Caenorhabditis elegans: one gene and its partner. The protein of the gene in region 1 purifies or fractionates together with the protein of each later gene. This does not show direct contact. Each region holds a gene or a part of one and is shown in the gene's direction. Other genes may lie near its edges.

The links. The genes of interacting proteins can lie anywhere in the genome.
Region 2: the proteins of T07F12.1 (region 1) and dgn-1 fractionate together in Caenorhabditis elegans (co-fractionation; one large-scale study listed by BioGRID). This does not show direct contact.

What each region holds. Positions count from the first base shown.
Region 1 is NC_003284.9:4,891,916-4,897,769, forward strand, and holds T07F12.1 (Steroid-phosphate phosphatase), read left to right. Parts: upstream 1-2,139; 5' UTR 2,140-2,145; coding exon 2,146-2,246; intron 2,247-2,290; coding exon 2,291-2,409; intron 2,410-3,410; coding exon 3,411-3,509; intron 3,510-3,572; coding exon 3,573-3,683; intron 3,684-3,726; coding exon 3,727-3,855; intron 3,856-3,983; coding exon 3,984-4,276; 3' UTR 4,277-4,716; downstream 4,717-5,854. Other genes in the region: T07F12.2 (PA domain-containing protein), read left to right, coding at 1-77; T07F12.4 (Protein kinase domain-containing protein), read right to left, coding at 4,845-5,054, 5,178-5,347, 5,395-5,537, 5,746-5,854.
Region 2 is NC_003284.9:10,925,999-10,930,734, reverse strand, and holds the start of dgn-1 (Dystroglycan 1), read left to right. Parts: upstream 1-1,736; 5' UTR 1,737-1,839; intron 1,840-2,915; exon of another isoform or gene 2,916-3,120; intron 3,121-4,736.

The sequences.
Region 1 (5,854 bases):
GGAACTATGCACCATGGGTTCATCACCAGAAGAAGGCTCCATGGGAGATTTGGCCAGATGAGGACCATTACTTCTAAATGAATCCTCTCAAAGCTTTAATAGTGACAGTTCAATTATCATTTCGGTTCTTTCTAATTTTGTGTTGTGATTTCCGACGTTTTGCCTACGGTGTCCCCATTCTGTCTCAGCTTTCCTCATTTACATGTCATTTTTGCATATTCTTTTTTTTATTTTTTTTTCTTCACATCAAAAATCTGGTTGTAACCTAATATTAATATTTCGTTATTTCTCTTTCACATACTTATCCTCCCGAGACATTGGATTCCGTATCGCCCACGGGTTATTCCTCCCCATTGGTTTTTCCCATTCCCGTTGTCTATGACAAAGTTGCCATTACAATGAATTTTTCAATATGTATGTTTTGAAATGGTGTAGATATGAGAAAATGGAACACCAGTGTCCTATGCTCTTTTCACTTTTTGTCATTTGTCAAATGCGGTGTGGCTATGGAGCACCACAAGCACTAGAGAAAGTTTTTAATTCTTTAGGCAAATAAAACTCAGCAAGTCGACCGCTTTCATTGTCTTTTTCTTCCGTTTCCTCTCACTGCTTTATATATCCATCATCCATAGTTAGTGACATAGAAAACGGTTTTTGACAATGAGTCACCGAGATTTCAAATCGTATTTCTTTTAACAGTGCTGCATTGGGATTTTACTTTAGTTTTTTTTAGTTATGTTAGTTGTTTTCTGAGTTTTTTTTAATTTCTATGTGAAACGGGCTTTGCAAATTTTTCAGACGCTTTTCTGGAAAACCTGATTTTGCCCTAAAGCCCTAAAATTTGATTCTTTTTGCGTTTGTTGATAATATTTTTAACTGAACAAAAGTCGGAAAATTTCACAAATTTTGAATTAACGCACACAGTATTAAAAAAAAAATTACAAAGTTATTAGAGCTCAAAACGCTGAATTACCAAGACAGTGCGCTAATTATTACGAGAATTCATATATAAGGAAAAAATACGGAAATAAAAGTTAATTGTGTTCCCATCTGATAACTTTTACTTTTCTTGAATAGTTTACATTTTTAAAATAGTTATTTTCGACAGAGTAAAAATAATTTCCCACTTAAATATTTTTTTTCAAAGTTTGCCTTGCTCAGCATTCATAAATAGATAAAAATTGCGCAACTTTTTCGCAAACGAAATAGGTTGAAGATATTAGTTGCACCCTATATAATTTTTGTGAAAGAAAAGTTTCGTAAAACCTTATTTAATTAATTAATTTAAAAAACATTTCCAATCAAATAATAATTAAACTTGCCAAAAATATTCAGATTTTTCAAACTTGTCGTGAAAGTTTTGGTAAATTTGGCTTTTTAAAAAAATTTTTAGAATCCAAACTTTCTGAATGCAAATAAAACTTTGTCAAAAATATTTTGATAACTATTTGCTCATTTTAGTACTATAAAACGGTTTTCTTTGCGTTTAACATGTTGAAATTTTGTGATTTTGCGAAATAAACAACTCAAAAAATAATTTCTAAAAACTAGTCAATTCAAAATATTTCCCACATTGGCACTTCCATCAAAAAAATGTCTTTTGAATTTGACTCAATTATGTTGCGCTCGTTAGATTTCGGTTTCTGTTCAACACACACCATTTTTCCATTTTAGCGAGGTCAAACCAATTTTTCGTTTCAAAAATTTTGATGCTTTTACTTTTACTACTACGTTTTATTTTGTGACAGACAGTTGCAAAGTGGAAAAATATGTCTCTTATCACTCGTTTTTGATTGCGCTATTATATGTAGGTTTAAATTCTATTGTTCACAATTAGAGCGTGCGACGGATTTTTATTGATCGACCTTGAGGTTCTGTCAATTGTTTGAATTGTGTCTTATACTGGTTGTAGAATTTGCTTGTGAAAGTTATTGGCACGCATCCAAATTCAGGTTCGATTCCACTGTTTTCTCCGTCTTTCTTTCTCTACGTTTCTTCAGCAATCATCACTCTCTAGGCGCTTGCGCATCTCTATTTCTGTTGTTTCTCCTATCGTATTTCTCTTTTCAATTTCATTTCATTTCATTTTGCATATGAATAATATTATATAAATATACTTTTCCATTTCGTTTGTATTCCAGATAAATGCCCGAGCGGAGAGTGTTCATTATCCGTCATGGTGAAAGATGTGATTTTGCATTTGGCAAGTCAGGACTTTGGATCAATTCATTTGACAGCAGAGGAAGGTAAACGTTATTTTAAGCATTCTAGAACAAGTTTAAGTCTGTAGATATCGCCCGCTTGACATCAATCTTCCCCGAACTCTTCCAAAACGTGCCGATGGATGGCAAGGTTTTGCTGCCGACACCCCGTTGACTGAAATTGGTTATCTTCAATCAAAATTGACAGGTAAACTGAAAATTTGCAATTTATTTGCAAAAATAACAATTACAATTTTCAAGTTTATTTCAATAATTTAGATAGATTATTTTTTGAATTTCATAACAAATTAAGTTGTTTGAAATTAAACCAGTTGCCAGTTGGAAAATTGTTTAGAGCCATAGCAATTTGATTTAGGCTGTTTAAGAAATCTTTGAAATTTCCTGAAAAATCAAAAAAAAACCAGCAATTTCCAAAATGACCAATTTTTGAAAAACAATTACTGAAAGTATGCAATTTTTACATTTTTAGTTTTTATAAGATCTCGAAGAGTTTTCCGAAAAAAGTGATTAACAAATAACTACAATTGCGAATTATGCCAAATTCAATTTTTTAAGTTTCGAAAAATTTCGGCAATTTCGGCAGCTAAAATTTTTGACCGCGTACCTTTTGTTTCACAGTTATCATAGTTCTGAAATTCAACTTTAAAAACATGTTTCTGCAAATTTTATATTCCAATGCAGTTTCATTAAATGTGCATTTTTATTCGAACTTATACAAAACGTCATTTCATTTGAATTTTGGCTATTGTCTTGTACAGAAAAATGTTGAAAAATATGGAATTTGTTTAAGAGCTTTAGTTGGTTATATTGAATAATTATAAGAACTATTAAAAAACAAATCATTATTAAATGCTCAAAAACACAGTTAAAATTTGAAAAACTTGAATTTATTTTTACATATGTTATTCGAGAAAGTTTAGGTATTTTTTTGAAAATGTATTTCAATTCGCACAACGTTTAAATAAAAATAATTATAAAAACATTTAAAATTACAAATTTATGAAAGATTTTATAAATCGTAAAAACAAGAGCTTATACTGTTCTTTGGTTTCTTTTCCACATCATTTCTAATACTGTACTGTATTTTAAATAGTTTTTTTTTTCAAAAAATAACTTTATTTTCAGTCAGAATTTGTCTAAACTATTATCTATTATGTTCTTCATCAACAAGACCTATTAATTTTTCAGGACGAGCATTACGTGACAATGGAATCGAAATCAACCATGTTTTCTGTTCCCCGGCTTTGAGGTGCATCCAAACAACAGTTGGTCTATTGAAGGGAATGGGTACGTCATGTTTCGATGTTTCCCGCAAGACAACTGACATCACTTAAAATAAACATGTTCTAGGTCTTGACAAGCGAATTCAGTTTTCCGTTGAACCTGGGCTTTATGAGTGGATGGTATTTGCAAGGTACGCAAGACCATGCTGGATTCCGCCAAAAGATTTGAAAAAGCTTGGTACGTATGCTCGGCGTTTAATTCCAATACTAAAAATGTTCAGGCTACCCTGTACAAGAAAACTATGTACCATGTTGGACGGATAAGGAGCTTCGAATGAATGAAACCTTAGCAGATTTCTATCAAAGATCGTTTGGTTCTATAAACAAAATTTTGTCGGAATGCACAGAAGGTGATTTCTTTTCTCAACTTTTTGACACTAGTGATCAATGTGTATTTCTCGTGATTTTCCTGTCTATCACCCTATGAACTTTCTAGCTTCTACATCTCATAAAACGTCACGTTAAATGTATATTCCAGGAAACATTCTCATTGTGGCTCATGGTGCATCACTCGAAACATGCACTCGGCAGCTGGTCGGCGGTGATATCAGATCAACTGACGATTTCTACTACCTACTTCAAAACACACCATACTTGTCGTGTGTAGAAGTGAACTCTCGAGAAGGATTATGGAGACTAGTGGGCAGCCCGATTCCGTCGTTTTCACACACGTACAATCGCACTTTTGATCCATTGCAGCTCGTCACAAAAGATTTGGCCTCGCTGAAAAGAGAACGAGAGGGAAAAGACAATATGAGGACCACTCAATAATCTTTTTGATAATTTGTAAGCCGAATTAATTTTTCTACGGTTCTGAATGCTAACATTTTTGGCGGGAGTTCTTTATTCGAATTTATGTAAATTGAAAGTCTTTAACTTTGAGCCTAACTTTTTATTGCCAGTGGGAATATTTTTCAAGTTTGCTTTTATAATGCTAAAATCTTTTTTAAAAAATATTTGAAATGACTCGATGTGGAAAATTTGAAAATTTACCATAATTTTGTCTGAAAATTTTTTGAAGATGTGTTATAATATTTAGTCAGTTTGGTCTATGGTCTCAACTGACGGTTCTCCGGCCTTTGATTAGTTTGGTTTTTCTTCAGTTTATCACCGACGTTGTTCATGATCTCAACTTTCTCCTGTTTTTTTATTCGATTCATATTCAAATTGTTATACTTTCAACTAATAAATCATTTTATTCGACAATCAATTAACATTCTGTGAACTTCGAAACCCGAAATTTGTTTTCTCTTTTCAAATATATTTCAATGATAGATCTACTTGTAGAGATATGAGATAACTCTTTGTAATGGTTAAACATTTAAAAAAAAAGGATCGGCTAACATATTTGTTGACTCCAGTTGATTGCTTTGTCATAAAACTGAGTAGGTGTGCATCTTTGAGTGGTATCGAGCTGCAGCAGTGATTGAATAATCCCCGAAACCTCTTGACTCAGCTCGTCGGGCAGCTCAGGCGGGTCGTAGGCGTCGAAGTTAGCCCCTGCCACATACAGGAAGAGCTTACACAAACTGCACTCATCGAATGGGACCTGCAAAAGAAAAATTGTGAATATGAAGTTATCTACGTCATTCTTCCACTTCAACTGCGAAGCCCCTGGGGAGTTATTTGCGTTTTTGTTCTTGGAAAAACTTTAGGGTTCGGAAGGACTAACCTCTCCTGTAACGCATTGGTAGAGAAGGCATCCGATGCTCCACATATCAACTTTTGAGTCATACTGACAAGTTTTTAAAAGGTTCGCTCCAACTTCTGGAGCCATGTAATAAAATGTACCCGCAACGTTGCACAGCTCTTCTCCCTCGTTATCAAGGGTTCTCGAAATTCCTGAAACAAGAAATGAATTAAATTACGTAATGAGTTCCAAAACACACCAAAGTCTGTGATCCGAGCACAAGCAATTTGTTTCGATGCATCTGTATAAGTGATCAGTATGTTTTGGGGTTTAATGTCCCGATGTACAATTTTCAACTCATAAAGCGCTTTGTATCCTCGGGCAATGTTGTCAAGAAGAAGCCTGAAGTGATTTCTGTTTGAAAGTTGTAAAAAAGTTTTGAGGAAGACATGCTGAAACTTCCTTATCCTAGCCCTCTTCCCTAGTTCCTGTTCCGTATTCTCTACTATTTACTTGAATCAAAACATGTTTGTGTGTTCCCCCCCCCCCCCCCCCCGTTCCCCAATCTGTAATGCAAAGAAAAGAAATGCGAGAATTCCAAATTCCTTACCTGAAATTCGACGGATTCAATCTTCCTTTGACCGAAATATTGCGCATGTGATGGTCAAGATCACAATCGCAGAGTTCCATTATTAAACAGCAGAAAAAGTCGTCGAAAT
Region 2 (4,736 bases), 6.0 Mb from region 1:
AAGAAGTATAAGAATCTTTTTCAAAAGGTATTATTATGCAGTTATATCTAAACTGTAAATTTGAAAATTCAAAGTATCTCATATTCCTATATGTACCAGTAGTTTGTATTTTAAATTTCCAATTCAAAATTTTAATATGGAAATGATGTAAACACCATTCCGATTTTATTCCATTATTTTTCTCTCAATCTCTCACTCTTTTCAATTTTACTAGAAAACAGATTTTTATTCTTTCGAATAGAAAACCCTCTACCGTTCCTGACTCACCATTCTATCTCCTCACACACCACTTTCTACGACATTGCCTAACTTTTTGTGCGTTAAGTTTAATGTGCATTTGACCTTTATCAGTTACTCGTGTCCTCTTTCCTGTCTTGATATTTGATTTCAATCACCATCGAGTAATTAGTGTATTGGACACACATACCGAGAAACCACTAACAAGAAACGCCCTGATTTTATTTTTCCTTGAATAGCAGGACGGATCGTGTTAAATTCTAAATAACGTAGGACTGGAAAAATCACATTTTTATGACAACAGGGACTTTGTCGCAAAATTTAATTAGTTCTACATTTGGCCAGGACAATGATTACCGTGGCTTTATGATCAACAACATCTAGCGTGTCTTATCAAAAGCAAAAATTGTTGGAAATCCTAATTTTCTGTTTTGTTAGACTCTATTTTATTTCTTTTGAAAATCCATTACCGTTTTATGTTTTGAATAACTTCAAAATCAAACAAAACTACAGATTGATATTTGCAATCTAATATCTTCGTTTAAATTTCAACTTTTTTAAATGTGCTCTTCGAAATTAGTAAAAAATTTGTTTTATATATTTGCAAACTTCATATAGATATGAAAATATACATATGATAAAATGAAAATAGCTGTATTCCCTTGCCACGCATATAGACGGCGCATTCAAAAACTCATTGCACTCTGGTTTTTTTTTCAGAATTTTAATTACAATGGGGGTTATATTTCATGGGAAGAGCCTTTTTGAAACTCACCGCTTTTCTTCGCTCTATTGATATTTTTGATTTCCCTCTGCGTATGCAGAAAATAGTACAAACCACACTGACATTCATTGTAGTAACTCTAACTTTTATGCCCAAGAAAAGGCAAAAAAATGGTAAGAAAAACGTTTATGAAAGCTTTCTGTTTACCTACCTTGACCATTTTCTCTTTTTCCCCTATCCTCCAACGAGTGTACACACATTTTCGGGTATAATTCATCCGAATGGTTGGTGACAAGAAAAAAAAATGCTTCAAACTGTGTGCGTATGTTTTTCTTGTCAAAACCACATTCATAGTGTGTTATCAACAAGGAGGGATGCAACAAAAGAGAAAGCGAATTTTCCAGGTTGCATTCTTCATTTCGTACTTGCTATCTCTTTCCTCTGATAACCGTTTTTTCGGCAATTTCAATACCTCCTTGATTATATTTATGAGGTATGCAACTGACAGTGTTTCTTTTTCTCTTACGATATTTATTTTCACATCAAAACTATACACATTGCTAGCTTTTTTATTCTTTTTTGAAAAACCTATATTCATCAGATCTCAGAAGTTCCAATTTGAAAGTTTCTTCAATATGTACATTATCGTAAATTAGTCTGTCAACTGATACAAATCGCTTTTTGCCAAGTTTCAAAAGGACACCCCTTTTTGAAGTTTTCCGCTCCATTTCATGTCTTGAACGTATATGTTGCAAAAGTTACTTTCGATTTTCAGAACGACAACGTGTATTGAACCGAACTTGTGATTAGAATCGAAAACGAAATTTCAATTTGGCGCACCCATTTTTTAGTCCCGGCTTATTGATAAACACATAGAGGTGAGACTTTTTTTAATGCCAGTTTCGAACGCGTGCCCGGAAGTTTTTCGAGGCATTAAAAAAATTTTCCTATGTAACTAAACAATTCTTTTAGTCTTATAAAATGTTTTACTAAATCTCGTTTCCTGATATATGTAGTTTTGTACACAGAAAACGAGATGTTTTCTTTTGTATTTGCCTGAAAAACTTATTCTGCTTCTTGGCACAAATCCAAAAAAAGCGGCGTCATGTTTGTGCATTCAAAAACACTTCAAAGGTGTACGAAGCCACAAATGTTGTGACTACTCATATGTGTACAGAGATAGGTGTTTCAAAAAAAATTTTCGTACGACTTCAGAGTGACGTCCTTATTTTGAAACATTCACTTAACTCGAAAACATCCTGGTTTTTAGGTATTATATGAATTGTCTGCTAGTTTTTTTTTTTCGAAAAACCGAGTTTTTTCTCTAAATAACCTAAATCTTAACAAAAAATGTTGTTTTCCGTTCTTCACGTTTTTCGGTTTTTCAATTTTGCGGTGTGGGTCAAAAAGCCGAAAAACCCAAAAAATCGAAAAAAAATTAGGGTCCAGTTTGAAAAAGTGCAATTTATGTATGTTGTTTGTATGAAATAGGGCGTCATCAGTAATAAAAATATTGCATTCTGTATAAAAATACCGATTTTGGAGTGTTTTCAGAATTTGTTTTTGCAGTTTTCTCAAAAGCGAAAATTTCCGTTTTTCAGTTTTTTGAAGAACCAAAAAATCGAAAAAAGTTTTGGCGCACATAAAATGTTTTGTTATTCTCAAAAAATTTCGTCCCTACTAAATTTTACTCAACAATGTTCGTCTTCGCAATTCTCAAAAGAAACAAAGTGGCCCAAGATCTTACGTCAATCAAAACATTCAAAAGACTAGAATAAGAAGGCCCACTGTTTTTATAATCTTGTTTTTACACTCACTTAGCAAATCCGGCACTCTTTGTTCGGTTGCTAATAAGGTGTCAAAGTGACAATTGAAACCCCTCTGAACTGACTCAATAAAAGATAAGATGGAAAATAAATCGAATCTCCGTTTTCAATATGTTTCGGTCGGTTTCTTCTATTTATATGCAAAATTCATTCGAGACACCATACCAAAAGCTCCCGTGGGAGCTGGCCTTCTTATGTCGGTCGGTTCATGGTCCGTAGGGAGTGTCGGAAGGACGGAAGACCACGAAGGAAACGTCTTTGTTTGTACGGATCGCTTATTTATTATGCAGATTGAATATTGGCCACCGCTTCGTTCTTCATCTGTGTTCGGCTTTATTAGACTGCTCAAATGTTGCATGCCATTTTCCTCCTCCTCTCTCTTCGTAGCCGTAACGTATCGCATGTCCATTTCTGATTAGCTCTCGTCATCCGTTCTTCTTTCATCCTTATAAATATCACCATCCGTCTTGAATTGACCAAGAAAAATTGTAATTGTTCCAAACGGACCCGCATTGTACGTCTGAACACCCAGTCATTAGGCTTATCTTCCAATCGTTGCCTCCTCGTTTGCTCCATCCTGCACACACCTGGCCACAGGTACGGTGACGCAACTTTATGAGGTTGAGCCGACCAAATAGGACCATCTCCGTCCTTCCCCACATTTTTCGCCTCTCACTTTATATGTTTGGTCAACAGGGCTTGCCTCGTGCTTGACCCTACCCATACGCACAACTTTCTCTTTTTTGCTGAGGAAACTTTTTTGACGCGGGGTTTTTTACTCGAAATCTACGCTATCCAAATCTGATTTCTGTCCAAACGTCCTTGTCCATTCCTTGACTCTTCTCAATTTGATGATATGTGATGGAATCGTGCCCCCATTTGTGTGCCATCTCTTCAACGCAGGAGCTCTTTTATGTCGTTACAAGCATCTGCTTCAACGCGCGCAGCTGCACACAGTGCCATTTCTTGCCCTCGTTGTCGCGTCAAAAGTATTGCACAATACGGATAGATTACATAAGGAAATCTGTATTCAATCAGATGGTTTACGATCTGCCCGGTGGTGAATAGATATTTTCAACAGCTTATGAGAAAATCGGCTCCAAATTAATATGAATACGGTCACATTGAATAACTGAATTTATGATCTAACATTTTGAATTAACTAAATTTGCACTTCTCTGATTATGCTTATATAGTTTAAAGATTTTACCGCAACATTACAAACTTTTAATCCTCTAGTCTGATAATGATTTATGTCCGCTTCATTGTGAGCGACCAAAAAACTTTAGCTTGTTCACAGGAGTGTGCTTCAGGAATTTTTCAATTAATCTCTTGTGATATCACTTTCTTTTTTTTTGCTCTTACACCAAATATTTTTTTGGAAAAATTGTCAAAATTGACTTAATGGAAGCTGGTGGCTGAAAAATATTTGAGGAATGATTCATGATTTACCGTTTCATTTTTTTATTAAAAAACAAAAGTCTAATACTTTTGGTTCCTGTCAACATGGGGATCCGGACAATGAGAATGAGACGAACGCGCTGACTACTAGCAGTCGAAGTACGAAACCAGAACAATAGGCGTGTTAGTCTCAGTTTTAGCAGTACGTTTTGTCTCCGGTGTTCCCGTGTTAGAAGTGTATACAATTACCCTTTGCACAGTGGCTGTCGATTCAAGCAATTCGAGAACGTTAAGCCAGGTAATCCATGCCTAATAGATGGCAAACGGCACCCATCATCATCCTCATCGTTCATTTAATTAGCACGTTCGTTTCATCTTCAATACGTTCCTCACTGGACGTTAATCCAACCAATTTCGCGCACGGAAAGGTGTCAGAACAATGAACTGAGACGATCATTTCTCACTGGGTTTTTGTGTGTTCTTTTTGTGAAATAAGGTAATCCTCAGTCACAGGTTGTCAACGGAGCACTAGTGTCAGTCAAATGTAC